Mytilus edulis: one gene and its partners. The protein of the gene in region 1 purifies or fractionates together with the protein of each later gene. This does not show direct contact. Links are inferred from orthologs where the notes say so. Each region holds a gene or a part of one and is shown in the gene's direction. Other genes may lie near its edges.

Region 1 (8,044 bases):
GAATAGAATATTTTATTTACCAAATAAGGGCCTATAGCATACAAACATTATAAAACATTTTGTAATAAACAATAATGTATATAACATAAAGGAAATAAAGCGTTGCCACGACACGATAAATTACATTGAAAAAAAATACAATTTATTTTTTTACGCCAAATGTGATGCTATCCAAAATTTCTGGGGAGAACACTGGTTTGAAAACTGTAATCAGCAGCTCAGAACCCTTTGAATTATAATACAAGCCTAGGGGTTAATTGATTATAATTGCTCACAAAATTGGTGGTGGCTAGAGAAACAAAAACAAATTTTGAAAATAACAGGTATCACTTGAAGATGGCAGGATCTTTGGTTGGTGACACCATCATTAAACAGGTCATGGAGATTCCTGATGACTTCGCTGTCAAAGAGTATCACATGTCTCACCACAAGTGAAATAAAACTACTAATGAATGTTTTCATAGCCTCCGATTAAAAAAAATCTTTTTATAAGGTTTCCACATCATCTTCTGTGAAAGTTGCATAAAAATTAACCGGTGAGTCCCGGACCATAATATTAGTCTATCCTAAATACTGTTATTTGGCTTAAATGGCTCTCCATACTTTTAGTAATCAACATTATGACATTAAATTTAAAGAACATAAACACATTTTCCTTCTATCAATAAAATACAAAAAAAATTTGTTTTTACCTGCAAGAGACATCTGAAGGATCAACCCATAGTGTCAGTTCACAAAACAACTTGAGATCTTTGTATTCGAGACCAGATTTGTGTACAGCACTCTCCATTACTGGGTCATTTGGTTCTTCAGGGTTGATTCTTATACATCTATAAGCTTGTCCTTTAGCTGGAAAATCTTGATACCAGTGGTTCTTAAATTTCTCTACCAGCACTGCTGAAAGACTACTTGAGAAGGATTCCATTTTCTCATTTGGGATGCTACCGCACTGCCGTACTAAACGTGATAAAAACACCACTGCTGCTGCAATTTCGTCCCTCATTTTTAATGTTCTTCACTTTAACACTTAAAAAAATCTTCATCAAGTTGTAACTCCGCTTTTTCCACAACAGAATCTGTCAGATCCTGTCAACACTTTCTAAGCCTCGGTTTCGGTTTGTTATTGTCTTCTTTGTTCGCCTGGAAGTCATTAAAACCTTATTATAAAATTTATCAAAACAACATAGTCTGATGGATTGTTTACAGTTAATGATATGTACAACAAATTGAAAAGATCTTAATCTGTATTAACTGAGGAAGAAATAGGAATTTATCATAAATTATTATTTCCTTATTTTCGATGATTCACGAACAACACCAACGCGAAGTTCACAACATTCCAGAACAATCTTTGAAATATTTTGATAACTAAAAACACTAGTCTGAATATTGGTTTCAACTTAATACTATGGATGGCTGTATAAACATATCAACATACCCAATAAAGTACTCTTGAAAATAATATCTTGTTTACTGTAAATACTTGACCAGATCCACCATTAAAGCGCAATGCCAGAATGCGGTCATCCAATCAACAACTGTTTCCGTCGACGAGTTGCTACGAAATACATAACGTCATTTCGCGGGAAATATAACACGTGTCAATGTTTACAAATAAGGGGATCATAACATAGGATTTTGGGTATAGTCGGTATAGACGTGCGGCTGCTGCTGAGATTAATACAGTCTTGTGGAAATGTCAACCCATAAATATATATAAATTTATATCAAAACCCATTCATATTCAAATAAAGAAAAAGATATATGTCTCTGTGAGTGACCGTGATAGCATGATCTATACATCTTCAATGACCAATAAGCAGTTCATTACTCTACTGATCTAACTGACGTCAATCGATCTAAAGGATAAGACAACATAAATTATATACAGATATCTAACTGGAAGATGAAATTATTGCCGGGCCCATTGACAATTCACTTGCGCGATATGATTTAACGTAGCGGTTGCTTCAAAAAAAGAATCCATGCATGCATTATTCCAGCGCTGGTCTGTGCTCACGGCCAGTATAGCCTACCTTCATAATTAAAGGAAGAAGCCACTCTGACTTCCACAATATTTTTAAAAAAAATATGCTACATCTTTTCTAAGCAACTGCATTTTAGATAAGTTGAGCTGGTTAAGTCGGATCATGCTATATCACAATATTCCTAATACTACTTGTGTAAAATACGGAGCAGTCTCAACCGACCAGCGCCTACATTCCCACTCATGCCTTCATTATAACATTTTGTTTTATTTCTAAGCTCTATTTATGGGCATTATGCTTTCTGGTCTGTGCTGCGTCCGTTCCGACGTCCGTCCGTTCGTTCGTTCGTTCATCTGTCCCGCTTCAGGTTAAAGTTTTTGGTCGAGGTAGTTTTTGATGAATTTGAAGTCGAATCCACTTGAAACTTAGTACACATGTTCCCTATGATATGATCTTTGTAATTTTAATGCCAAATTAGAATGTTTGCCTCAATTTTACGGTCAATGGCAGATCTGTCAGATTTCAATTACGAGGGACACCAATCTAATCAATATATAGATCTCTGACTTATGTTATACTCATATCGCAATTTGTCCTGACTTTTGTATAATTTTGTGGTCGTTTTATTACAAAGGCGGACGCAGTATTTTAAGTTAATTAGCAAAAAGTGACATTTTTGTTTACTGGGGTAAAATTATCGAAATATTCTTTAAGTTAAGCTGAGGACAACCCATACTTTGCAAATTTTACGGGGGAGGTGCACGCCCGCCACCTTCCCTCCTCGCCTGAATCCACACAATAAGTTCATTATCCTTGTTCAGTTTCAAGCCTTGAAATGGTATGCTGAACTGACTTTGGGGAATTCAATCAAAAGATTTACTGAAAAAGGTACAGATATACAGTAGTATCAGCTTAGCGAACTTTTAGTGACCACAAATACTATTTTGGTTATATTGTCTTGCTTAAAAAATGATATGGTGTGTCAATTAATGTCACAAAACCATTAAACGCACACGAAGAAAACAAACGAAAAGGAATAGCGCTTTTAAATTAGTACCGTCTGTTCTTATTCATAAAGTTTACATGGAGAGAGAAAAAAACTCACCTCTCTGCAAGTTCAAGACCTGTCCCTGGTTTGAGATGAGTCCGTGAAAACCTTTTCTAGATATCGAATAAGCATCATATATAAACAAAAACGTATGATTGCCAATGAGACAACTCTCTATACAGGAGACCATATGACACAGAAATTAGCAGCTATAGGTCACCGTACGTTTTTCAACAATGGGCAAAGCCCATACCCCGAAATCACAAATGTAAAACAATTCAAACGATAAAACTAATGGCCCAATTAATGTACAAAAATGAAGGAAAAACAAATACGTTACACATGCAGCAACAAACGACAACCATTGAATTACAGGCTCCTGATTTGGGATAGGCACATACACACATTTCCATTTCCATTTGACTATATTGAATTCCTCTTGCAACACTTTATGTGTCTGAGAGTTTACAATAATGAATTTGAACTTAACTTTGACACATAATGTGGCGGGGTTAAACATTTTATCGAAATCCCAACCCTCCCCGTACCTGGGGCAGTGGTGTAACAGAACAACAAGAACGCACTATAAATGTTGACATGCATAGCTGCCGAGTATTAAATAATAAATAGTTAGCAAAAGAAAAATCCTGGGAAAAGGATAACTAATATATTATGTCACAGAAAAATTACTGTAATAACTTGCCCTACAATCTCGATGTAAAGTAATGTTAAAATAGGGTTTCGTTTTCTTGCGTTTACCCTCTGAGTCCTTATTTGTGCACAGAAATCAGTAAATTGTGACATTGCTTTTAATTCTGGAACTATATGTATAGCACAATTTCAAGTTGCCCCAATACATTTATGGAACTCCATAATTATTTTAGGACATCTGCATATTTCGAATTATAGAATAATAGAGGTTTTGTAATATTTACCCTGAAATGCGGTGATGGAGGTTCTGAAATATTTCAGGAGGTATAATGGATTGTTAAGGTTTTGAAATAAAGCAATTTTAAACTATTATTTGTGAACGTTCTGAAATCGTCTATTTAAACATCGAAAATATCAAACAGTTTTACGAAATTAAAACCAAGCGTTTCACCAAATTTTAACCTTCGAATTACATCCTGGTTTTACCGATTTTTATTAAGCAATTGAGAATCGTTCGTGTAGTTAAAATATTTTAAAAATTGTATGATAATCTCTTTTGTAATCTCTTTCACATTTGATCAGAGTTTTATGGGGGAAACCTGTACATAAAAATATTTTTGAGGTCTGATAAAGGGTTTGCATAGTCACGCTATATAAATTCTTCGTCTTTCCTTAGTAGAAGCCTATTTTTCATTCAAGTATCTTGAAATTTTTTAAATCGTATATACAACTTGCTAATTTTAGAAAAGTGGACCTCTGTAAGAAAACTTTGTCAATATTACCAAGGATTAATATATTCTTATTATACAAATCTTTTCTATCATATATAATCTTATACGAATTTTATTCTTATCCTCATTTATATGATATGTGTAATTAAAATCAATGTAATTTACAATATACAGTGTTGTAATTGCGGTCATTTGGGGCCCGTAATCGGAAATCATGGCTGAACTCTTTTAAAATTTATTTTACAACCTTTTAGTTCCTCATGAATTTCATGTTCATGCATTATGAATATAATATATTGGGTATTGATAGCAATGTATTTTTTTTTAACCGATAGCAATGTCTCTATCCAAGGTTCCTTTAGAAACAATAAACTTTCTACTTTTTGTACAATATGATCACTCCCTTAACTTCAAGTTGGTCTAGGGCGATTTGACATGTGGGGCGAGTTGGCTTCTTTCATGTACGTTGCTTTTTATTTTTAAGTTCCCTTTAGGTACTTAGTGATACTACAATGATTCTCTGTAGGGATAATCTGGCCACAACCTCAACATTGGGAAAACGAATTTTAGACGTTCCCTCACTTTTGGATGTCGGTTTGCATGTCCCTCTAAGCTTTGATGTTGTATTTTTAATGTAAGAAGTAGTAAGCAAAGTTCTCATAAGTCGAAGGACAAATAAACACTATGACAAAAGAGAAAAAAAGGACGTATAAAAAAAACACTCTCCCAAACATGAATTATTATATGAAAACCACAAAATTATACACATCATGATAAATGTTGCTCTTAATGAGGGCAGGAATGACCCTTAACTGTTAGGCATATAATTGGTTGAAATCCTATCGTGATTTGTCAAAATATCCCCATCATAATTCGTCAGAGGTCTCAAATATTTAACCGTTACCGTAATTGTTGGAAAGAATTTAATGTGATTTGTCAAAATCAGTCAATTTCTTTTTAATCATTGTAAAAAATGTACTTTTTATCGTCATGCACCAAAATTTAATGATAACATCAGGTGGCAAGATTTTTTACCCTTATTTGTCATGAAAGTATCCCCAATACGAAGCCCATTATTTGAAAAAAGAAGAAATATTTTGTAAATATATTAGACTATCAACTTCCTTTAACAATTCCCTATGTATAATTTTCTGGTGTTGGACATTTCTTTTAGCATGTTAAGGATATAATTATATCACAATTTTAAAATGAAAACTATGGATACTCTTTATTTGGAATTATATCCAGAAAAGATCTTCATATTAAGGCTAAGCTATTATGACCTATTGGTCAGATTCAAATTTACACACAAAAGATGATTAGGGTTATACATTGTAATTTGGATGAAGGGCTAATTTATCTACTCTTTTGTTAAATTACAGATCATGGATCAAGACACAGCTCAAACCTTGTTCAAAGAAGGTGCTATTTTTGTATTCCTTGATGTACCAGTTGGAACAGAATTTGGTATTGATTATAATTCATGGAATGTCGGACCAGAGTTCAGAGGAGTTAAAATGATTCCTGCAGGTCTTCATTTTGTTTATTATAGGTATGTTACTTACATTGATTTAAATTATTGTCACTTATATTGAAAAAAGTACTAGATTAAATACTGTGGATTCATTAATTTTCTTGGGTGCCGATTTTCGTGGTTTGAAGAAAACGTGCATAGTCTCAGATATTTATTTTCGTGGTTTTGGCAAAGTCTGCATTCATTCCTTTAGAAAATATGTAATCCATTGAATATTTATGGTTCCCCTGGTCACTCAGGAAATCCTCGAAAATTGGTATCCAACAAATATTAATGAAACCACAGTATAATTTGTTCTCAGAGTTTAGACAAAACAATTATCAAAGTCCACACTCCACAGACACATGGTTCCTGTATGTTGAGAATGACAAAATTACATGTTATGGTCTTTTGTATTTTTTAATTCAGCAGTCTCTGTAGATACTAAGTAATTTTCAACACAAGATGAATTCAGGTTAATTTCTTCACTAAAAGAAATCAAGCGTTGACTTCATCATTGCTATGCTAGAGGGTCTAAATGGGGTAACTTTTTCTGTATCAAAAATTTTAAGGCATATTTTTCTTTTCTTTGAAAATAATGCTTATTGTTTTAGATTATCAGGAATATGATTTTACTAGTAATCTGTAATTATATGATTTTTTCCCCTGTTATTCGTTCATTTTTAAAATCCAAGGGTGGTGCAAATATTTCATGGGTGGAAGATCAATAGCCTTAAATAGCCTTGTCACTTTTATTATTCTGAATGATATAACTTCACAAAAGACAGCCCTTGAAATATGGCAATAGGGCCAAACATTCAATTTATCATTATACATGTTATACATTACGTTTTTAAGATATTTATTAAGATTCATTTACATTTCAGCGCCTGTAATAAGGAAGGTCAAACAGCACCTAGAACTGGATTTTTCTATAACTTCAGAAAGAAAGAAATTGTTGTTCGCAAATGGAACAGATTGTTAGAAGGTAACCTTATTTTTATCAAATTGTCAAAGTCAAAGTGGCAGAATTAATACAGTTTAATAAGGTTTAATTTCTAAAGAATATTCAGTGACTTGGCTGGTTTGTCCTGGTACACTTGTTCAATTTAGGCAGGTTCCTGGTTTTATTAGGCGTTGGTTCAGATAGGTTTCCCTGTATTAAAATTAAATGATGTCTGAAGGAAGTACCATCAATCTAGATATTTTAAAATGTGCCTGATGTTTGTTTTGTTCATTAATGGTAAAATTGCTAAATTTCTCATTGAGAAAAATTCCCTCAGATAGTAATGGTCTTGGAAATCACTTAAAATAGCGAAATTAACTTTTTTTTTTCTTGAGCAAATCACTCACAATAGCTGATAGGAAATTTGCTCAGTTGTACAGTACCTAATAAAGTTTTAGGTGTAAAAGTAAAAGTGTCTGTGAGGTCACTCTGATTTAATGTTAAAGTCCTCAACATTTTTTATGATTAAAAACACAGGTGCAAGGATATAGGTTTAATATCTATACTATTAAACGAGAAGACCTCATTTTGTGTGTCACTTCTCTTCCTTCCACAATAAATTAATCATCATGCCTCTGTGTCCTATAGGTACCATGCATAGTCGCATTTGTCATCCATTCTTATGATTTAATAATATTCAGATTCAGTTATTTTGGGAGAAATACGGAAAAAAAGGCGTCCTGATATTGTTTCCATCATCAGACTGACTTTTAGAAATAGATAAGACTTCTGTTTTTAAATTTGCATAAGTAATTGGAGAGAGGACATTATTTTCGCGTTTATCTTCATGTATACTATGATTATGCTACTATAATATATAGAGACTCTCTGTATTCTGTATACTGTTTTCTTTGAAATGTTTACTAATTAAGGGGTCATATCAGTTGCATATAAAAATAAGTAAAACATGTGGAAAAAATTTATTGTTGAAAGTGAAGTAGTGATTTGGCCAAAATGAAAGTAGGGTACTGTAGAAATTAGCCTTTGTCATTTATACAAGATACAAATCCTACCATTGGCATGTTAATAGGGTTCTCAAAAGAAAAAGCACAGATGGATTGTCCTAGAAGCATATTTTATTAGAATAATAATGGTCTATAAGCAGTT
Region 2 (7,762 bases), on another chromosome or scaffold:
AACAAGAAAGTTGAAAGTTGGATGTGACATTTTTACCAAAATAAGATTCTAGATTTTTCTTCTAATACATTTTGAAGAAGCAAATTATGTTCATTTCAAAAATATATCATGTTTTGAATTTCCCACCATTGCTCATTTAGAAGGAAATAAAGTTCACTCAAATTATCTTCTTATTTCATTTAATAGAAAGAGGGATCAATTTCGTTCAGCAATGGTATTAGCCATTAGTGATTAGTATATTCTGTTAATGGGAAACTAAAAGCAGTTTGATCCCATGGAAATATGACACTTTTTGAATTATAATTATTATGCAAAAATATATATAAAAGAATGTTAGTTTTACTATCAGCCTGACAAAATATTTCTTTACTGAAATTTTCTTTTTTTAACGACATTCAAATTTAAATAAGAATATACCACTATCCGTCCAATATACTATAAAGTGCTTTTTTTGCATTTCTTTTAATTGTCTGTCACAAATAGCAATAACCTTGATAACAACAACATATCTTACAGTTTGAATGTGTATATGTCTGTTCATGCATATATCTATACATGTAATCCAAAAAATTAGAATGAGGGTAATATGATATCATTTTGTGATTTGAAAATTTTCTTCAAAGTAAAGGATAATATTTGCTTGGTACACATGTACTAACAAAGTTTGCTTCCTCCAATGTTAAGATTGATATTCAATAAATATAAACAAATTGACTTTATAGAAATAAGGAGACGTCATATAATTGCCAATGAGACAACTATCCAACAGTCAAAATGGTGGTGATATAAACAACTTTAGCTCACCATATATATCTGACCTTCAAAAATGAGCAAAACTTATACCTTATAATCAGTTATTAAAAGCCTTGACACGACACATCTGAACAATTCAAACTTGAAACCCAACTGCCGGATTTATGACCAAACAATATTTATTTGGATTTTTGGGTTGCTGTCTTGTTGTGATCAATTTGAATTAGTACTCTCATGTGATACTGATATGCAAGGATGGTGCTAAAAATCAATTTTAATATATGGAAAAGTTAGCTTTGAAAAAGACAATTACATAATGATGGTAAACAAGGTTATTGGTTGAACAAATGATGCTACAAAGTATTGAATATAGAATTTTGTTATGATTTGCTATTAGTATTAAACACTATTTCTTAAAAAGAGAAAGGAATAATATGTGAAAAAAATAGGATTAAATTTTATACACTGTTTAATATGACTTTTTGTGTCTTTTTTACTTCAGTATTTATTTCTGTATTATTTATTATGTTACCTATAAGTTAATGTTGGTTTTATGTAAAGCCAATTAAAAGATTTAACCTACTAATGCATTTATAATTGGCCATGATACACTAATTGTTATAATGTCCTATTAAAATACCATGAATATTAGATGTGAGGTATATATGTCAATGAGAACCCTACACACAAAATTTGGCATTTAGATATCGTTTTATGGTTTTCAACATAATACACAAGATGGTGCAAATGTATACAATATGTCATGCTGTACAGGTTAGAAAAGTTGTGAATGAATTGGCCTTCTTTTACTTCAAGTGTCCCTATACTTTAGAGTTAAGGTTCATTCTTGGTTATGGTTAGGTATGGGGCTGTTTAAGGTTAGGGTTAGGTATGGGGCTGTTTTAGGTTAGGGTTAGGTTTTAGGGTTAGTGCTAGTGTTAGGTTTATGTATGGGTTAGGGTAAGGTTGGGGGTTAAGAATAGTTTGGTAAAGCTCTTTATGGGTTGGGACCTTTAAAGTAAAAAAAGGCCAATATATTTAACAAAAAAACATCATTGGTCTTTCACCAACACTTAATTCTCTAAAAATAAAAACACCATATAATCAGCTATGAAATGCCCTGTAGTATTGAATAGAAATTAGATCAAAGCAATTACCTGTTAAAAACATTCTGTTATGTCAAATGAAGAATCTAAGACCACAAATGATTTAGACATTTTGAACTTATTATAGATTCAGATTCAGATTCAATATTTTTTTAGTCTCAACACTTGTAGTACATATACATTGAATAAATACACTAATGAAGTTTTACTAGTTGATAAATAATGTTTTTAACATCATACAAAGTTACATACTTAATCCTTGAGTCTCTATTAAAATAAATAAAAAATAATCACCTCATCCCAAAATTTTTAAAAAGCGGATTTAGAATCTGGTATGAATGTTTTACACTGTGTAATATGACTTTCAATTTTGCCTAAATACAGGAGAGAGGATAATCATGAACAAGGAAACAAGATAACATGTATGTAAACAAAAACAAAAAGATTAACAGACAACCTACGTATATATATTAAAAAAACACTACACAGTAAGCTGTACAATGAGAAACATTATATAAAAAAGAAGATTTAAGTATGATTGCCAATGAGGCAACTCTCCACAAGAGACCAAATGACACAGAAATTAACAACTTCAGGTCATTATATGGCTTTCAACAATGAATAAAGCCCATGCCACATAGTCAGCTATAAAAGGCCCAGAAATGACAATGTAAAATAATTCAAAGCAGAAAACTAACAGCCTAATTTATGTACAAAAATTTACAAAAACACATATGTTACACTTAAACAAACGACAACCAATGAATTACATGCTCCTGACTTTGGACAGGCACATTCATACAGAATGTGGCGGGGTTAAACATGTTAGCGGGATCCCAAACCTGTTACCAAAACTGGATGGTGAACTAAGGTCATCTGCAACCATAATTATATTAACAGTTCCTAATCCATGAGCAGTTTATGTCTGATAAAAAATCACATAAGGTGATGTCATGCCAGGAAATGAGGATGGTTTTGTGTATACAAAAAGTTGATCATATTTGTGATTCAAATGTTCCATATTGTCCAACCATATTATGATGGTGTCTAAAAAATTTTAAGAGATGAACTTGATTGTACCATGAATAACCCTCTGTGAGACAGCTTCCATAGATGAATGGACCCTCTATTCAGGAAATCATGAAAGGTAAAACTATAGCCCATGAATACAATAACTTTCTGTTTTCATATGCAGCTGTTGTTGGAATATTGCTACATAAAGGTTAAAATATAAAAAAAGAAGATGTGGTATGATTGCCAATGAGACAACTATCCACAAGAGACCAAAATGACACAGACATTAACAACTATAGGTCACTGTACGGCCTTCAACAATGAGCAAAGCCCCTACGGCATAGTCAGCTATAAAAGGCCCAAATAAGACCATGTAAAACAATTCAAACGAGAAAACTAACGGCCTTATTTATATAAAAAAATAAATGAAAAACAAATATGTTTAACGTTAATATTTAATACAATAAAATTCTAGTTTTTTTTCTGCTTTTCTCAGACTGTTTATGACATCTTTCCACTGATTCCATTGGAGTATACTGTTTGATACTTCAGTTTGGGAGAAATTATATGTTTATCAGTTGGTCAGTTGGTTTTGGCTTTGATTGGTACTTTGTATCTTTTGTCTTTATGCTAGTAATTTTGCGCTTTGTATCAATCTAATTAGTCAAGCCATTTCCAACTGATTTTTACTGTTTTTTCTTATGATTTGATGTTATATTTTTATACAAGGTTAGAGAGATGGTTGAACACTCACGAACATTAAATTAACACTGTCACATTCTGTATGTGCCTGTTAGAAGTTGTGAGCCTGTATTTCAGTGGTTGTTGTTGGTTGCTATCTAGTATAGAGAGTAACCATTGAACTTTAAGGTGGATATGGTTTTTTGTCTGAGTCAAAAATAAATTAAAGCAATTTTTCAAAAATATATTTTGGTACTTGAAAAATCTGGATTCAGATTTTTTTGTTGTTTTCTGCTTGACCACAACATTTATTTTCATCAACATTGGGGATCAGAATATTTTTTTAGGAAAAAAAATATGTTTTGGTTATTGTTAAAGACCCATATATATGTGACTTTTAATCATTGGAGAATGTTGAATAAATTCAGATGTGGATCCATGAATTTGACAAAGGAGGGGGAGGATGGGCAAAGAGCTCCAGGGAAACATTACCAGTGGGTCTTGTAAAAAGTCTTTTCAGGAAGATTTGTTCTGGTTGATCATCTATTTTTACTGTTTTATCTGACCCCCAAACACAGAAATTCAAAAGATTGTCCCTAAACAACAGCAAAAGAATCCCCCCTCAAATAAAAAATTACCAAACCATAACGTAGCAATTTGTGTTATAAATATGAATACTTTTTTTTAAAACACAAGTTTTATAATTCAATGAAAAAAAAAAAGAAAAGAGAACAGCAAAGAACCAATCATGAGAATATTAGAAACAATAGAGATGAAAGAAAAATAGAAAACTCGGAAATATACACATAGTTGTACCGCATTCGAGATGACACTTAAAAATTCCAATATGTCAGCTCCCATTAATTTTCACATGTAAAAAAAATATTTTGGTTCGCAGTACGTCTGTGTTTATTTTCAACCATGGAAAGAAAACAGAAGATGTGTATAGAGTTTGAAAATGACATCTTATCAAATAATGAGCCACAAAACGTCGAAGAATTAAAAGATTTTGACGGTAATCTAGATTTGCAATGACAGTAATATTTGTTTATTTTCTGTATTAACTATAATTTGTATGAAATCATGCAGTTTTATTCAATACAACAGGGTTCAAGATTAATCATTACTTTTTGAGAGAGAGAAAAAAATGTATCACTCAACCAAGATCAACGGCTTTTCCACAAGTTGACACAAGAACTGATCGACAGCCTGGATGTGGATCTGCCTGAGTCTCCCTCCTTGGTATCCTTCAATGGGGATCTTTCAACACTCAATTTCTAGTCTTTTTAGCTAAATCTGGAAGATTTTTGTAAATGGGAACTATCCCCATTTAATGAATGGCTATTATTTATTTTGAATTTATTGAACCATAAAACTAATTTTTGACTCTTCACATTGAATAATCCGCGAAGCGGATTATGTAAAATGTGAAGAGTCAAAAATTAGTTTTATGGTTCATTAAAATCAAAATAAATTATTGCCATTCATTATAAATAAATTTTCATCAAAAATAACGCTCAAAGAACTTTTTATATTATTTATATTATTTATAATATGAGGCAGGCATTACCTGTAAATGGGGACGAAGTCTGTATGAATTATTTTTTTGTAACTCAATTATTTGTCCAAAAAAAAGACACGGAAATACAGTAACGTTTCCGATTTTGGTTCTGTTGTTAGGGATTTTAGTTGTGACGTTATTTAAATTATGACGTCATATGCAATGTAAACAAGAAACGCTATCATTAGGTAACGTTTTTTCATATCAAGGAATTATTAAAAATGAAATAAGTATTGCTCGTTCCTTCCTATTTTATACTAGACTGATAAATATATATTTTACTCAAAGTTTCATACAAACGAGACCGGAAAAAGGAAGTATATTGTACATTTCTGCGCAGGTCCGGGATTTCAAAACATGACATAAAAAAAATTGAACGATTTTGAGTTCATTAGTACAATGAAAAATTCGGGAAATTTTCCCGTATTTTTTTTTTTATTGAATTTTCTACTGTTATTGGGGACTTCGTCCCCATATTAACAATAACAACGTAAGCACATGTTGGCGTATGAATACACAACGTCAGAGTGGGCGTGTTGCCATAAAAATTGACAACATTGAAAATAAAACTAATAATTTTAACCAATCAGAAGACAGTAAATACACCAAATTTATTTATTAAAAGATAAAATAACCCAAATCATGTGTAACCGGAGAGCACGAATTTCATTACAAAATTGCTTGTCTCCACCGGGACCTCTGTGTTACAAGGCAGCGCGTAAACCGACTGAGCTAAAGAAGTACTTCATTAGCTAAACCGCTTACGGCTGACTAAGTATCTACTAAGTTTTCTAAGGGAAGCAATCCCGTCACACTCCCCCACCTCAAGAGTCATTATACTCTATAATGATGATATCTTCATCTTTTATATATTTATATTTTAACCTGGCTAGGTAATTCTTCTAACCGTGGGTTGTTATTGTTTGGCGCCAATGTAACCGGAGAGCACAAATTTCATTACAAAATTGCTTGTCTCCACCGGGACCTCTGTGTTACAAGGCAGCGCGTAAACCGACTGAGCTAAAGAAGTACTTCATTAGCTCAACCGCTTACGTCTGACTAAGTATCTACTAAGTTCTCAAAGGGAAGCAATCCCGTCACACATGAAATGGGATATCAATTTACAATTTACAATTTTAATATGACAATGTAAGAGGGTGAGAAGCAGTAATTCTAGTTTAAAGTCTTTGGTTTAAACTGGATATACTGCTTCTCCACTAAAAACAGGACATCAATGAGTTAGAGACTGATCTGCTCTTAGTCAGAATACTGTGTCTGGGTAGTCATGGTAAATGTAGTGTAACATATCTTTCTGTGGATACTGATATCTGACAGAGTTTTAAAATGTAATTGTTATGTCTTGTGAACAATTTGTTTAATTTATAATGCTTGAGTTCAACTTTCTAGAAATGTAGCCTTATGATTTCTTCTTTATGTTTTATTCTTACTTGTCATGCATGAACAAATGATCTGAAAAAATAGCGTTTGAATTAATTGTTTCTGGTATCAAATCTTCTTCAGGTATAACTGATTCTGATCGAGACATTTTAAGATATTTCCAACAATCCAGATTTGACAGTGTGTTAAACAGCGAAGTTTCAAGAAAAGTTCTTAGTGTGAATACAAACAACAGAGAAAGAATAGATCTATTGTTACAGGATAATATCCCACAGTTTATAGAAAATGGTGATAGAATACTGAGGTAAGTATTAAAAAAAAGAGGATGTGGTATGATTGACAATGAGACACCTACAAGAGACCAGATGACACAGAAATTAACAACTATATGTCACCGTACAGCCTTCAACAATGAGCAAAACCCATATCACATAGTCTGCTATAAAAGGCCATGAAATGACAATGTAAAACAATTCAAAAGAGAAAACTAAAGCCTAATTTATATACAAAAATTTAGTGAAAAACAAATATGCAACACATAAACAAACAACAACCACTGAATTACAGGCTCCTGACTTGGGACCGGCATATACATACAGAATGTGGTGGGGTTAAACATGTAAGCAAGTTCCCAACCCTTCCCCTAACCTGGGACAGTGGTGTAACAGTATACCATAAGAAGGAACTATAAAACTCAGTTGAAAAAAGGCTTAACATATCAGATGGTTACAAATACAAGTACTACAGAGTGGATGTGGCTGGGTTCTTGTATATCCCAACAACAAAAAGGCAGATATAATATTACGCATAGTTACTGACAGCTAGTTCAAAGCCACTTACAACTAATAAAAAAAAATCATGCCTCTAAGACTAAACTATCAATCAATGTTCATTCTTGTGCAGGTCAAGATATGAGGCAATTGTTTGATTAACACATACATGTACAGCATTTGATATTAGAAATTTTGGAAGTGAGGTTGTAAAGTAGGACCTATAACAAGTCCTAATTTAAACAGGGTTTGGTTAGTTTCATTGTACTAGCATGTCTTTGTTATCTTTTCTGAAAAAGTATATGTGGTTTGTTCATGTTGTTCTTTATTTGGATTATGATATCCACAGTGAGCTGACCATTATGACAAACAGGAAAATGAATTCTGTCAAAGTGTAAAATCTAGTTTGTATTTGATCATCTGTTTTATATACATGTAAAACAATTTTGTAAAATAACGAATACAATTAATTCCTAGAG
Region 3 (8,291 bases), on another chromosome or scaffold:
CCCAAGATTTCTTTAATAAATTTTATATGCAACTTTTCGTAGGCATCACTGTCTTTAAATGTCGAAATAATCCCCCAGATTTCACTACAATAAAGGAGAATAGGGGCTACTAAGGAATCAAAAAGTTTTTCCAGAAGTTTACAAGGGTTATCTAATCCTATTGTTTTCTTTATTTTAAAATACGCTTTCCTAGCTTTTTCCATAAGCGAAGTGATGGCGACATTAAAACTGCCATTATATCTAATATTTATACCCAAGTAACAATAAGTATTAACTGTCTCTAAGGATTTGCCATTATAATAAAATTCGTTCAGAAAAGACTTTCCGTTTGAATTAAAAACCATTACTTTTGATTTCTCTGTATTGACTTGCAATTTCCATGAAGAACAATAATTACTTAATGTATTGAGACAATTTTGCAAACCCTCTTTGCTATCAGATAATAATACAATATCATCTGCATACAAAAGTGCATTTAATGAAACATCACCAACTACAACTGGATCTGCATTGATATTTTCCAAGTCTTTAAGTATGTCGTTTATAAAAAAATTAAAGAGAAGAGGACTCAATACATCTCCTTGTTTAACACCACAGTTTGATTCAAACGATGGGCTAAGACCATTAGAAAATTTAATTCTACTTGTAATTTATAAGAATATAACTTATAAATATTAATATTTTTGCAAAAATTGATTATTTTTGATTGTTTTTTTATTTTTTGTAAATTGCCATTTTCAGGGGAGATAACTCTTAAATAGTGCATTTTCTGAAGGATTCTACATGGAATTTTCCTATTTTGTATTTTAGTCGGAAAAACTCACGGTGACCATATCTTTTCTTTTGAAATTCTCAAGGCATTGTCTGAAAGCTATCTTTTCCTCAAGTATTTAACAATTCTATCATGTTGTTTAGTTTCTGACCACAAAATGTTTTTTTCTCTGTATAATCCATACAAAATGTGTCATTTTGTCGCGTCCTGTAGCTTGAAAAAATGCGCGGTGACCTATCATTTTTATTATATATTTCAACATATATCAATAGATGCTACGTTTTGGCAAGGTATGAACAAATTCTATCATTTTTAATTTAGACTCCTATACCACCTTTTATGTTCTGCCATTGATTGATTATTGTTGCAATATGGGCGTTTTTCAATAAAAACGTACTTTCTTGTCCTAGCCACTTTAAAAAACGTGTGTTTGATCTTTGCAAGTAATTTTTTGTGCAGTGAGTACATTGAATTAGATTAAACATTTTAAAGCAAAGAAACATTTTATTTTTTAGAGGGATTGATAAGATATTGATTCCTGAATGGTCCAAAACAACCAAAATGGCATGTCCCTAGACCGCCTGTTCAACATTCGTACTCAAAAATGTCGTAAAAAAGTGTAGAAATAAATATTATTTTTACTTAATATAAGTTCTTTGATAATTCAAAAGTATGTTTCTAGCCAACATATTTTAATAAACAGCTTTTAACATGGGATTTTTAATTTCAGAAGGTGTGTCCCTAACAAAATGTCCACTACGAAACGAAGTCATTAAAATTTGCTAATAAACAGTTTTATAAAATCAGTGTAATTTTTGTTTGCAAGAGATATAAACATTAGGGTCTTACAAAAAAAGTGATGCTTTTATAACGGCAATTAAATTGTTGGTAAGAAAAATTGAGCACATTAAATGCACCAAAGTGATACCGTATTTTTGTAAATGTCCACTACGAAACGGGTCAAATCTCCTTCAGTATCTGGTTTTAAAATTATGAAAAAAATATCATTGTACAGCTTAATACATGCTTTGGTGAATACAGTCAATCTTTATACTATCGCAATTTATATATATATTTTATTCTGAAGAACCTATGTTGATACAATGGTATACAGATATACATAGACATACACAATAATATTATAAAACATGGTGAGGTTACAGCAAATAGAGAAGAAAAGAATGCATAGTTTGGAGGCTTCCATTTTATCAGAGAGAATTCATTTTTGTATTAATGGTTCTAATGAGCTTACACAGCTTTTTAAGTTTTGATTGTTTTGAAAAATTCATAACTGCTTTAAACTTTAGAGTATTAATGTTAGTACAGAAATTTTCATCTATACATTCTTTCCTTTCTTCAGAAAAATATGTACATTCTAAAATGTAATGAAATTCATCTCCAATTTCATTACTATTACATAAGTTACAAGTTCGATTTTCTCTGGGTATGTTTTTCCATCTACCAGATTCTATTGGGAGCTTGTGATTTACGGTTCTAAATCTACAAAGAGTGAAAACGTCTTTGTCGTCTAGCTTGTTGATATAGTTTTCGAAAGCAAAACTTTCTTTATAAATGCAATAGTTAACCGTTTTAGGACTGTTATTAATATTTGCACTCCAAGTTTGGATAAATTGATCTTGGAGAATAGTTCTAATCGTATGTTTTAGCCAATCATAATTGTAAATAAGTTGATAACTCCATATGTAGGAGAGACCACATTCATTAAAAATGTTGGAAATATAATTTAGCCATGAAGATTTTAAAGTAGAATCATTTTCTAATTTCAGCAATAATTTAAACACAATGAAACATAGTTTTTCTTGTTTGCCTTTTAATATTCTTATCCAATATGATATCATTCTGATTTTTATATCAATATTAAGAGGGTATCGACCGAGTTCTCCATATATAACATAGTTAGGTGTAGTAGGTTTTAAATGGAGAAGGAGTTTACAAAATTTTAAATGAACTTTTTCTAGGATGTCAATATTTTCATATCCCCATATTTCACAGCCATATAAAAGAATTGGTTTAACAAGTTTGTCAAAAAGATCAAGTTGACAGCTAATAGAAAGATTATGTTTTCTTCCTTTTCGTAAGACATCGTACATTGCGTTAGTAGCCTTTTCTGCCAAATGAAGTTTGCCCGTTTTAAAACTCCCAGTTCTTGAAAAATATACCCCTAAATAATTAAAGTCTTTAACAATATCGATATTTGAGTTATTGTATTTAAACATTAAATTCTTTTGTAATCTTCCCTTTGTAAAAACTACTATCTTTGTTTTTTCAACGTTCACCTTGAGTCCCCATATGTTACAATACGTATTAAATTTATCTAAAGAGGCCTGGAGATCAGTCGCCGTTTCGGCAAGAATAATCGGGTCATCCGCATAAAGTATAGCAAATAAATTTAGATAAATATCTAACTGTGTTTCAATGTCTTTGCTTACTGTTTGTAGACCAATCACATTTTCTTGGCATAGAAAATCTTCTAAGTCATTTAAAAAAAGTGAAAATAAAAAGGGTGATAGAATTTCACCCTGTCGAACACCATTTTCGCATGGGAAAAATCAGATTTTTTACCATTATATGATAAACATGATTTGATATTTTGATACATATTAAAGATAATGTTGTACATTTTGCCACTTATTTTACTTAAAAGCATTTTATACCACAGAGCATCCCGTCGAACAGTGTCAAATGCCTTCTCAAAATCAACAAATGCACAAAAGAGCTTCTTTTTCTTATTTCTTAGAATTTCAAAAAATGAATGCAAAACGAACATGCAATCAGTTGTCGAATAACCTTCACGAAAACCAAATTGATTTTCCTTCATCAACAATGTTTCTTCTGAAAATTTTATTAGTCTTGAATTTAAGATTGAAGCAATATAGGGATTGTGGGGGAAAATAAAACATGCGAATACGTCCCCTACGAAACGGTCCCCTACGAAACAAGTATGGGAGAAAAACGTTTCGTAGTGGACACTACCACTACCATGCAGTCTTTTTTAATCTTTTTTCAATTAAATTCGTGCAAAACAAATAACAAGGGTTAGTTTCATGTAATTTTTATTATGTTTTTATTAATATATAATAGGGTTGATGTCAACTACGAAACTTTTTGTCCACTACGAAACGGTTTTGTCCACTACGAAACGGTTTTGTCCACTACGAAACGCATCAAAATGTCCACTACGTAACATGAGTTGTACCTTCATATGTGAAGTACTGTCTAGTCTTTATCGATAAAAATGGTTTTCCAATTCAGAAAAAAAATAGATTTTTCTAGTTTTTAAAGTAAACAAACTGGAATGTCTATAGGAAACATTTAAAATTGCAAAAAAATATGTGTGTTAAGAAGAATTTTCGTAGGGGACACAAGTCCCCTTCGAAACAGTACACAAATTATGAAAAATGATATCATTTTAAAGAATATTTAAGATTGCAATTTTTGTTTACAAACAGGTCTATAATAGAGGTATTCAAAATAACTCTTGAAATTATTTTTTAGACAAGTTGATTTTCCACTTTTTTTTAGGTCTGAAAGATACGCTTTTATTGAAAAACACCCATATATGGGGAAGTTGTTATGAAAGAAAGGAAACATTTACATATTCAGGCATACCCGTAGCCAGGGGGGGTTCGAGGGGTTCGGACGAACCCCCCCTTGAAAACTAATAAGCACTGTTAAAGTCGATGTTCTGTTCGAATTGTGACTGTTAAACTCGAGTTTGTGAGTCAAACGAACCCCCCTTTGGAAAATCCTGGCTACGGGCCTGTTCAGGAGTAACTGGATACACTTGTATCTTTTAGATACAATTGTATATTGTGTATAATATATCATTATAATACTTATGTACTTAAAAAAAATATGTTATTAGGATTTTGAGGACTCCGAAGAAGAATTAATAGGTTTAACTAATGGGAATCATCCTCTTGAAATAAAGTTTATTTGTTCATTTAAAATATGGTAAGATATCATATGGTGGAGTGATTATCATCACTGTTTTTGAAGAGAGCACAGGTAATGTTCTACAATTGAAAATATGGTTACTCTATAAAGGTAAGAGAGATTATAGCAGGTGCTCCTACCAACGGAGGAAGCTACAGAACATACATGGAGTCAGACATATTCTTCAAGTTCCTCTCCCTTAGATAAAAGATCCCCAAACATGGAAAATCGTGAAGAAAACGTCTGTAAATTGTATGTATCTATCTATATAATCTCACCACACTAATTACACTAAGTTGGTCCGCAAATAGTCGAAAAATATCATAATGACCTTAGAGCTACGGTTCCGCAGCTAACCTTCCTATAGAGTATATATACACTCAAAAATGAGTCCACTCCTTGACGGGAAGATAGATATATAGGATAGAAACAAGTGCCTGTGGGAACAACCCCTCACAATGCAATGACTATCCTTATTATGAGGGATACATGTTATCATTTTTATATATATCATCATGGTTTTTTTTACACGAATGATAAAACACAGGGGCTTGTTACAATACACCTTATCGCTATTCCCGGCTGACCCTGCCGCTTGAACTTTTGACGCATACAACAATCACTTTTTCATTGTGGCGTCAGCTATTCTGTTTTATGACGTCATAATTTTACGGGAACCTGTGTGATATCCAGTAATGGCGGACAAATAGCGATAAGGTGTATACACCTAATCGCTATAATAAATAATAATAAATAAGCTTTATTTAGAGTCGGCATGGTACAATGTATATAAAACATAGACAAACATAAGCTCTAATGAGCTTTTAACCGACATATGAGACATTATATAACAGTACAACATTTATAACAATACAATACATAATATAGTACACATGCAATAAATATCACAGCACAAAAATGAAGCACTAAAAGCAGAATATAAGCATAAGCTAGGTATTAAGGCTAAAAGCATATAAGTGTAAACTAGGCATAAAAGCTTGTAAAAATGCATAGCATAAAAATTGAAAAAAATGGGATTTGATCTAGATGGTAAATAAATTTGCATAATATATAAACTAAAAGTCTGCACAAACTGTGCACTTACAGTCATTTCCATTCCATGACTTTAAAATATTTTTGAACTGACTAAAATTAGCAATTTTTCTAAAATCATCAGGTAGATCATTCCATAGAACAGCAGCTGTGTATTTAAAAGAGTTCTTACCATAGGTTGTTGTTCGGACCCTAGGTATATATCTACAATATTAGAATATCTAAAATTATATTTACAGTCTTTCAATACAACTAAATCATGTAAGCATGGTGGTGACAATTTATATAAAATTTTAAAACATTCAATAGCCATGTTACGCATACGTCTTATTTTCAGTGATGGAACCTTTGCTCGTAAAAGTAGTTCATCATATGAACTAACATAGTCTTCATATATAAATCATAAAGCCCTTTCCTGAATTTTTTCCAATTTGGTGGTGTTATTTTTGTTGCAAAAATGCCATGCCAAAGGACAAAAATTAAAATTAGATAAAATAAATGTGTGGAAAATTGTCAGTTTATTCAATTAAGTAAGGTAGCTGCCAATGCGCTTTAAAACATTCAGTTGTTGGGATGCTTTACGACAAATATTTTTAATATGGCATGTATGGTGATTAAAATTAAGTTGATAGTCAATATCAATACCCAAAAGTTTGACAATCTCATCACAGGATATTTATTCCATTCCGGATAAGTTCTAAAATTACACAACTTTTTCATCCAGTCGATGATATCTGGGACCCTGTTTAAACAATTCACCGTGCATGATACTTTTTAATGAGACCTGTTTAAACTACCGTAAATACTTCAAACAAAATATTTTTTTAATTCAATTTTAATTTTGAAAAAAAGTGGATCATACTCTATCAAAGTTTCTTGATGATCACTTTCTAAAGTTTTTCCTCCCTCAGCTCACTGCTGATGACCTCCATTTTCGGCCTGCGTGACCTAAACAGGAAGTTGTATAAATGACTGTTTTTCCAGGAATAGACTAAATAGCAATAAGGTGTATTGCCGGGTTTACTATCCATACGAATCCCTAAAAAAACACAAGGAAGGAAGCTAATTTGCGACAATGCTTCAAGTTATTGTTGTAATTTTTTTCTAAGACTTTCACTTACTTTGTGACCTAAATAAATATGTTCCCACTTGAATTATCTCTCCAATGACATATATTTGTTACCTTACGTAACATCTATAACTATTGTAATCCATAAAACAAACTCGACATTTTTGAAATAGAACGAATCGAGGCCCTACATTTGAAAATGAAAGTACTTAAGCGACACCTATCAGAAAATATATTTTCGGCACTCTCGGGTGTTTACCATAAACATGATAAATGTTATGCTTTTCTGAAGTCTGGTATTTTTTAAAATTTCAATCATGTAAAAATTGACAGGAATTATTAGGAACATACTGTCTTTTGTCCTCATATTCCAGTTAACTCCCAAGAGAGCCGAAAATATATTTTCCTGTAGGTGTCGCTTTTCAAGTCTAATTGACAATGGGGCCTATATTTGGACCCAAAATAAAGGCAAGAAAATCACTGCTTTAAAAGAGGGACGAAAGATACCAGAGGGACAGTCAAAGCCATAAATCTTTAAAGCTTGTCTTGGAACTTATTGATATTTATCTGTCATTACTGGATATCACACAGGTTCCCATAAAATTTTGACGTCATAAAACAAAATATTAGACGCCACAATGGAAAAGTGTTATTGTATGACTTCAAAAGTTCAAGCGGCTAGGTCAGCCAGGAATAACAATCAGGTTTATAGAAGGAATCCATGACAAATCACCCCACTCCTAATGACCCCACTTTTTCACAAACTCCCCCCCCCCCCCCCCCCCCCCCCCCCCCCCCCCCCCACTCTTGTTTACCAACTCACCCTTCTTATGAAAAAGGCTAAAATCCCATTGCAAATAGGTTGGATAACATGCTCCACTTATGACAAGGGTTAACATCCTGCTGACATAAGGTTCTTCCAACTCGCCCCACTCTTGACAAAAAGATAAACCACAATGATTTAATAGTGCCAACTCGACAGTCAGGGGTACTACTTGTACAAGTTATTTTTATTTACTTTAAGAAGTAAATAAAAAATGTTTGAATAATCTCCCCTTCATTTCTCAATTTTTTTTTTAGTATAAGTAAATTGTTCTTACAATCCAACAAACTCCTCAAGTTTTGAGATGTAAAATCATGCCTTTTTATAATTTTTCACAGGTATGCTCATTTTTTTCTATTAAAGTTCAATGTTTCATCTCATTAGTTCAACAAAGAAACTGATTGCGCAAAAAAAGTATTTACGCAAGGCCTTCAAAAATTGCTCCTTTGGGACTTGTAAATGAGCAGTGTTCTGAAGATAACAGACAAATTTATGGGATTTTCATTATTCATGGATTGCACTGAAATGATTAGTAAGTCATCAGCAAAGAGCAGATAATTTAAAATTCTATTAATTAATGAGAAAACAAGACAAGTTACAAACTATTAGGTTATGAT
Region 4 (8,306 bases), on another chromosome or scaffold:
AAAAAAAATTACTAATTTACATATCAGTTTGACATGTTTGATTCAATAAATAAGGTTAGCGTTTCTGTGAAAAAATCAAACAAATTATTCGATTTCTTAAACAGGTGATCCATTTATTCAAAATGAAAAGAAAAAGATGATTTCAAGCATTCATTTTAATTTTTTTTTGTCATGCAGGTTTGATATAAATGGTTTTTCTGATGAGATAAGTTGATCTCCATATCACACCTATCATGTCCCTAGGGCTTTACATAAATGTTGGTATCTGCTCTTGTGTCGGGTTGTTGTCTCCTTGACACATTCCCAATTTCCATACTCAATTCTAATTTTATTATTTTATTGCATACTTGAAAATATAGATTTTCTATGCTACTGTTGGACTCACGATGACCAAAAGTGACGAGTCCCTAGACTCGCTTCCAAAACTCCTTAGTGAGAAATATGGTAAGGTATGAAAGGGGAAAGGTAAGTAATAGATAATAATAGAGCCGACTGTACAAGTACAAGGGCTGTTTAGCCAGTCAAGGTCGTCGAAAACTTCCATTTGTTGTAGATAATAATAAATGATATGGGGAAACCCCTTTGTTATCTATTATCACATGAAATACTTATGAACTAATGTGGTGTTATAAATAGGGAAATATCCTATTTAAATGAACATAAGTCAAGAGTTATGAATCCTTATAAGGACGTTCTTATCAACTTAGAAATATCACACAACATTTAAATTAACTTTGTTTAGTTTATGATTTTCACTAATTAAGGGTAAAAAGATTAAAATTTAAACAGCAAAATGACCAATAAGATAACATTTACCAAAGTTCAAATTGCCGAAATTTTCAGTAGATTCCTTATTGGATTTCGTGGTTTTTTATGACGACCTTTATCCATGTTTAGTGTGTTTGCCTGTTATCTTGAGAACTATAATAGATATATATAGACGCTAAGCTTGATTATTTTTTTATTTTTTTTTTTGTATTTAAGCGTTTCTGATAAAAGCTTATTTTGATTATCCACTTAAAAACTATCGCATTAAAATTAATCTGAATTTCAATGTGTCATAGCTCAAAGAAAATTCAAAAAGTCTCGTAAAAAGCTAAATTCATTGGAAGGTTTAACATTAGAATAAGTCTTCGAGCCCTTACTGTTGTACATCAAATTTAGAAACTACCTAGCCTATATATTCATAGACACTTCCGGGTCACATACGATCGCCGTTTTTTTTACTTTTCTAAAATTATAAAGAATAGACAAAATGGTATTTAAGAGGCCCCTCATGGGGGGTCCTAGTAATCACATAATCACCATTTTTTTGCCAATATAATCACATAATCATTAAATATTTGCTTATCTTTAGTAATCAAATAATCATAAACTAAAAATACAGTCCTAGGTAATCAAATAATCATGAAATATTTGGCTTAATAATCAAATAATCATTAAAAAAACGGCCAAGTAATCACATAATCAAAAACCCCATGAGGGCCCTCATTTAAAAAATATTAAAGAATAAAGAAACAAATCCCCATTCCAGACCAAGGTCTACAATTTACTTCTGCTGAAATAATTACCAGTATTATTTTCTAGAAATATTTTTCATAAACTGTTGCTTGAATTGTCTCGTACTATTCGAAATATCTATTTTAAGTATAATTATTCTTTTGAATGAACCATAAGATTTGAGGTTTGTAAATTAAAAAAATGACTTCTCTTTGCCATAAATCATGGTTTATATTGAATCTATGCAAAATATTTTGATTTTTTCAATGCAGTTACATCCTTCAAATAAGAACTATAACATATACTGATACATCAGTTTGAATTCGTTTTGTTGTTACTTCTCTTTGTTATAGCCTTTCAGACCACTTTTGGACAAAATATTGTTGTACACATTTATAAAGCCCAAAACAACATCGTGTTTGAGTGTAAATTACTTTTACATATTTGTATATAATTACAATTTATATAAATTGCTTGATAAATAAGGTATTGACAATTCACGTCGAAACTTAGTTTACACCCCAACTCCCCTCCTACCCCAAAGACACGTACCAAAGAGGAAATCCTGGATAATCATATGTCTGTTCTGTGGTCTTATGGAATTTCAACTAAAGATGATCACCTGGATCTTTCTTTACTGTATTGGATACCAAAATTGTTTAAGTGTCATTAAAGACAATTATTGGGTCCTCCAAGTGCTCCAGGAAATTATCAAAGTCAATTGTATCTGTAATCAATGTCAGGCTTTATAGATATTGTGAATCTACCTTTCTAGTTTGCTGACCAGTGTATTATGCCACAGGGTGGTGAAATCTGTCAAGTGTGGTAGCAAGTAAATGATTTGTTAACTACCGTTGGCTAGTATGCTTGCTGTGTGAAAAGAAAGCGGAGTGTTTAAGTATTTCCTGACAGTACATAGCCTCTAAGTATCTCAGGATAAACGGCAGAAGATATCGGGGTAGCAAGTAAGGGCCCTAGAGATGCAATGTATATGCCTACCGGTGTGTGGACATGTCCTAGCACTTATCAATCTTGTCCCAGCTACGGTATGGATAAAAAGTCGGTAAGAATAGTGTCGTAGCTCAATAAGGCAATTCATCTAGGAGATGGTAACTTTCGACAATAAACCTGGATAGAACGGATTCATTAGTTCAGGACAGCAGCCCTTCTAAAAGAAGAAAATCTTGATCACAAACTCCCTGGTCGTCCTGGTTGGAGTACTAGTGTTGGGCATGGAGTTATCTCCGCCATCATGTAAAAACTATATCAGTTACAGATATCACAGAGGCCTTAAGTTCCACTGGAAATGAACAGGATAAGTAAGTACCTATACTAAATGTCCTCTTTGTCATAATTCAAAGTGTATTGACTATGTTGATCTTTCACAACGAATTTATATCAACCGACACAACAGCTGCAGCTCAGTCTGTATCACAACTTGACTTTCGTCTAGAAATTGACAATGGCCTGTAGTTCTTCAGTTTGGTGTCATTTTGTCTCCTGTAAAGGGTTGTCTCATTGACAATCTTCATGCATACCACATCTTATTTTTATGTTTAACGATTGTCGGTTGAGATCAAAACTTTACGACAAAAAGTTGATCTCAGCTTCCCAATTGTGAACTTTCCATTTTTTATGTAGCAATATTCCAGCAGTGCTTGCATATATAGAGTATATATCTCCCAGTGAATACGATATTCTATGGATCGCGTTTCCTGTCATGATTTCCGCGCTTCATACAAAATGTATTTCGGTTAACACTTTTACACCCCCAATAAAGTTACAATAAACAAAGACGTATAAATAACATCTACTATACGGTCAACACTTTTACACCCCCAATGAAGTTACAAAAAACAAGGACGCATAACTCACATTTAATATACGTCCTTGCAAAAAGGAAGCATTCAACTCATAAATACCCAAACATACAGTTTCGACATAATCTAATTGGATTATATAATAAAATTGAGAATGGAAATGTAATGTTATTTTATGGATCTTATTTAACGACAATTACACTTATTTCTGCACCTTTGACTTTGTTTAGTTTTAATTGAATATGTTTACGTTTACAGAGGCAAAATCTGAACTTTACAAAAAGGGGTTAAAGGCCTTTTTTAAACTAAGAAAACCATTTAATGACTCAACAAAAAATTTCAACATTCGTTCATATATTTGACTACAATTCAGCCAATTTTACTGTATGGATCAGAAATATGGGGTGCTGGCGGTTCCTCGAAACTCAAGGATTCTTCTTTTTTTTATAAACTATATAATCATTTTATACTTGAATGTAAAAAGTTGTAAATATGTACTTGGTGTAAACAGAAAGAGCACAAATAATGTTGTCATGGCAGAAGTGGGACATTTACCAATACAATTGTCTATTTTATTAAGCATCCTTAAATATTGGATAACTTTAGAAAAATCTGAAATATTTTACTAAAAGAAGCACTGGCACTATCTAAAAGCCTACATGAAAAAGGTCACACTTCATGGTATAGTTATATTATTAAAGTTTTGGAGCTTCTGGATCTCACTCCCAACAGTTTACTACATAATAATTAATATTGTATTAACAAAATAGTCATGAGAAAACTTAAAGGATTGTATATAAAAGAATGGAAAATAAACTTTTTTAATGATGTATTAATAACCAAAAAAATGAACTTCGTACATTTCGTTGATTCAAAACAAATTTCAATTTTGAACCCTATTTAAACCTGCTAAACTCGAAACAAATTAGGCAGGCATTAACAAAACTAAGAATTGGGGACCATCAACTTGCAATTGAAACAGGGAGGCACAAAAACATCCCAGCTCATGAGCGTATTTGTAAACTGGCTTTGTGAGGAGGAGGTGGAAGATGAGATCCACTTTCTCCTACGATGCACAAAAAAAAAAGGAAACATATAGAATAACATTTATTAAAGACCTTTGTATTTCTTATCCTAATCTAAAGAAATTTAACAATGAAAATATGTTTATATGGCTAATGGGTTGTGAAAATCCAGAAGTTCTAAAACACCTATGTAATTTTATAATCAGTCTCTAGATCTCGGGACTGAGAGGGATAATTTGATAAAAAAAAAATGTAAATGATGCCAAATTACTGACACCAACCAAATTTAAATTTTATGGCACAAATGGTATCCATAAACAGAAAAAATAACATTTTTATATGTTGAATATATATAAATACTGATCTGCGGTTTTAATTTTGCTTTTCTGTTTATTTTCTCTTTTCTATATTTTGTCATTATATATCATTAAGAATTAATGATAATCATTGTAATAAATTGTTTGTAATTATACTGCTTTCTTAGGGCGTCCTTGATTGACTATAAGAATATTGTATTGTGTATTATATTGTTATGTTATTGAACATCGTGTCACACTGGGTATGGTTCCAGATCGTGATATTTCTTTTAGCTTATTTTATACCGACCGGATGTTGATATTTCAACGTTGTGAGACCGAAAATGTCTGTACAGTCGTTTGTTAGCAAAAGAAAGAAGCATTTCATTGGTTTATCAGCACCGTTGGGATATGTTCCTGGTTTAGGAAGAGGGTAGGTCAATGATGTATACCAAGTTGACATCAGACATTCATGAATTAGTCCCAATTTTGTATTTTTCTTTGATGAGGTTCATGTAAATATGACCAACAGCAACATCAACATGACCAAAACTGGGAACAAACCGAAATTATGTATAATGAATATAATCAAAGGTTCATAATACGGTGCATTTCTTACAAGTGGTGGTGTCATCTATGGAATCAGTGTTTTTGGTGGTACTGTTTATAGAAAGAATGATTGATGGCCATGATGGCTTATTGATATTTGGAAATCTGCACCAGTTGAGAAGAGAATCTGTGCCAAATGACATTATGTAGTGTCTAATTTGTCTGTCAATCGATATTAGAACACCTGCCATGCCCCCACCTGAGTCTGCTCTTGTTTTGTATAGTAATAAAAATACTTAACACAAGATTAACTCTTGAGTTACACCTCATAATACCATAAAACTGTGTATTCACAGGGCCGGATCCAGGATTTTGAAAAGGGGGGCAAAGTTTTTTAAAGATCAGGGAGCAGAGCGAGGCGAAAATTTAAAGGACCTTTTAAATTATAAAATAAGTTTAAAATGCACCCTTTAATATGTTTAACGGTTCCTGACGTCGAAAATGTATATTTTACAGGGTTGGACATGTTTTATGCTGTACTAATTCTCCATATCAAGTGTCTATCATAAAATGATAGTGTGGATCAAAAGTTATGTACTGAATCAGGGATGGGGTGGATTACTTTAAAATGTAATTGATTAAATTACAATTACTTTGCTTATAAAATGTAATCGATTACATTACAATTACACCAGTGACCTATTTCAAATGTAATTGATTGCATTAAATTACTTTTCTTTAGGGTAATCATGATTGCTTGTGATTACTTATGATTACATTGTATATTGCAATATTCAAGAATTTCTAATAACTTTTTTTCCTCATGAAAAACCTAATTTTGGTGATTTTTTTTAAAGCCATAATTTATTAATCTTATTCAAAAGAATTTAGACAAGTACAGTGTAATTTGATAACATAGCTATATATAGACAAGTGTCCTTTCTCTATGTAAAAGATATAACTTTGTTTTTTCTACAAATTTTAACCAAAATACTGCCCAATTCACCAAAAAACTGCTTAAATAATGAAAAATCAATTAAGTATAGTTTTATTGTCTGTGAGGACATAATTGACACATCCATAAATGTTTTGACAGGTGTTAATCACTACTTTCATTTTTAGCTCACCTGGCCCGAAGGGCCAAGTGAGCTTTTCCCATCACTTGGCGTCCGTCGTCGTTAACTTTTACAAAAATCTTCTCCTCTGAAACTACTGGGCCAAATTAAACCAAACTTGGCCACAATCATCATTAGGGTATCTTGTTTAAAAAATGTGTGGCTTGACCCGGCCAACCAACCAAGATGGCCGCCATGGCAAAAAATAGAACATAGGGGTAAAATGCAGTTTTTGGCTTATAACTCAAAAACCAAAGCATTTAGAGCAAATCTGACGCAGTAAAATTGTTTATCAGGATCTATCTGCCCTCAAATTTTCAGATGAATCCGACAACCAGTTATTGGGTTGCTGCCCCTGAACTGGTAATTTTAGGTAATTTTTGCTGTTTTTGGCTATTATCTTGAACATTATTATAGATAGAGATAAACTGTAAACAGCAATAATGTTCAGCAAAGTAAGATTTACAAATAAGTCACATGACCAAAATGGTCAGTTGACCCCTTTAGGAGTTATTGACCTTTATAGTCAATTTTTAACCATTTTTCCTAAATCTTAGTAATCTTTTACAAAAATCTTCTCCTCTGAAACTACTGGGCCAAATTAATCCAAACTTGGCCACAATCATCTTTGGGATATCTAGTTTTAAAAATGTGTGGCGTGACCCTGCCAACCAACCAAGATGGCCGCCATGGCTAAAAATAGAACATAGGGGTAAAATGCAGTTTTTGGCTGATAACTCAAAAACCAAAGCATTTAGAGCAAATCTGACTGCGGTAAAAGTGTTTATCAGGTCAAGATCTATCTGTCCTGAAATTTTCAGATGAATCGGACAACCTGTTGTTGGGTTGCTGCCCCTGAATTGGTAATTTTAAGGAAATTTTGCTGTTTTTGGTTATTATCTTGAATATTATTATAGATAGAAATAAATTGTGAACAGCAGTAATGTTCAGCAAAGTAAGATTTACAAATAAGTCAGCATGACCAAAATGGTCAGTTGACCCCGGAAGGAGTTATTGCCCTTTATAGTCAATTTTTAACCATTTTTTCGTAAATCTTAGTAATCTTTTACAAAAATCTTCTCCTCTGAAACTACTGGGCCAAATTAAACTAAACTTGGCCACAGTCATCATTGGGGTAACTTGTTTAAAAAATGTGTGGCGTGACCTGGCCAATCAACCAAAATGGCTGCCACGGCTAATAATAGAACATAGGGGTAAAATGCAGTTTTTGGCTTATAACTCAAAAACCGAAGCATTAAGAGAAAATCTGACAGGGTTTAATTGTTTATCAGGTCAAGATCTATCTGCCCTGATGTTTTCACATGGATCGGATAACCCGTTGTTAGGTTACTGTCCTGAATTGGTAATTTTAAGGAAATTTTGTCGTTTTCTGTTATTATCTTGAATATTATTATAGATAGAGATAAACTGTATACATCAATAACGTTCAGCAAAATAAGATCTACAAATAGGTTTACATGACCAAAATAGTCAATTGACCCCTTAAGGAGTTATTGCCCTTTATAGTTAATTTTTAACATTTTTCATAAATTTTTGTTAATTTTTAGAAAATATTTTCCACTGTAATTACTGGGCCAAGTTCATTATAGATAGAGATAATTGTAGCAACAAGAATGTTCAGTAAAGTAAGATCTACAAACACATCACTATCACCAAAACACAATTATGTCATGAATTTATCCGTGTCCATTGTTTAATATGCACAAGACCAAGGTGAGCGACACAGGCTCTTTAGAGCCTCTAGTTTTTTTTACAAACAACAGGTGAGCTTGGGTACTAAAGTTTTATTGTCTTAATTGCAATATCAATAATGTTATAAGTGGTGAATTGTCATAATTTGTTTGAAAATTTTGAATACATGTACATATATATCATAATATTTATGGAAAACAAAATTTATTAAAATTGTCAAAAAATGAAATATGGTTTTAAATTCCATTTTGAATTAAAAGGGCTCATGCACTTATGTACATGATGTAC

What was found.
Region 2: the proteins of protein AAR2 homolog (region 1) and tetratricopeptide repeat protein 27-like purify together in Homo sapiens (affinity purification with mass spectrometry; 3 studies listed by BioGRID and IntAct, with this or other methods). This does not show direct contact. The link is inferred for Mytilus edulis from reciprocal best matches to the Homo sapiens genes AAR2 and TTC27.
Region 3: the proteins of protein AAR2 homolog (region 1) and zinc finger HIT domain-containing protein 2-like purify together in Homo sapiens (affinity purification with mass spectrometry; 3 studies listed by BioGRID and IntAct, counting the BioPlex papers as one, with this or other methods). This does not show direct contact. The link is inferred for Mytilus edulis from reciprocal best matches to the Homo sapiens genes AAR2 and ZNHIT2.
Region 4: the proteins of protein AAR2 homolog (region 1) and pre-mRNA-processing factor 6-like purify together in Homo sapiens (affinity purification with mass spectrometry; 3 studies listed by BioGRID and IntAct, with this or other methods). This does not show direct contact. The link is inferred for Mytilus edulis from reciprocal best matches to the Homo sapiens genes AAR2 and PRPF6.

The regions. Positions count from the first base shown.
Region 1 is NC_092348.1:58,116,784-58,124,827, reverse strand, and holds the start of protein AAR2 homolog, read left to right. Parts: upstream 1-4,915; 5' UTR 4,916-4,930; coding exon 4,931-5,008; exon of another isoform or gene 5,009-5,052; intron 5,053-5,800; coding exon 5,801-5,970; intron 5,971-6,818; coding exon 6,819-6,919; intron 6,920-8,044. Other genes in the region: maternal B9.10 protein-like, read right to left, coding at 693-1,003. UniProt on the Homo sapiens protein: Component of the U5 snRNP complex that is required for spliceosome assembly and for pre-mRNA splicing.
Region 2 is NC_092346.1:91,098,296-91,106,057, forward strand, and holds the start of tetratricopeptide repeat protein 27-like, read left to right. Parts: upstream 1-4,382; 5' UTR 4,383-4,475; coding exon 4,476-4,569; intron 4,570-6,636; coding exon 6,637-6,817; intron 6,818-7,760; coding exon 7,761-7,762.
Region 3 is NC_092345.1:107,504,304-107,512,594, forward strand, and holds the start of zinc finger HIT domain-containing protein 2-like, read left to right. Parts: upstream 1-4,911; 5' UTR 4,912-4,949; coding exon 4,950-4,981; intron 4,982-8,291. UniProt on the Homo sapiens protein: May act as a bridging factor mediating the interaction between the R2TP/Prefoldin-like (R2TP/PFDL) complex and U5 small nuclear ribonucleoprotein (U5 snRNP).
Region 4 is NC_092355.1:77,114,756-77,123,061, reverse strand, and holds the start of pre-mRNA-processing factor 6-like, read left to right. Parts: upstream 1-4,926; 5' UTR 4,927-4,985; coding exon 4,986-5,074; intron 5,075-8,306. UniProt on the Homo sapiens protein: Involved in pre-mRNA splicing as component of the U4/U6-U5 tri-snRNP complex, one of the building blocks of the spliceosome.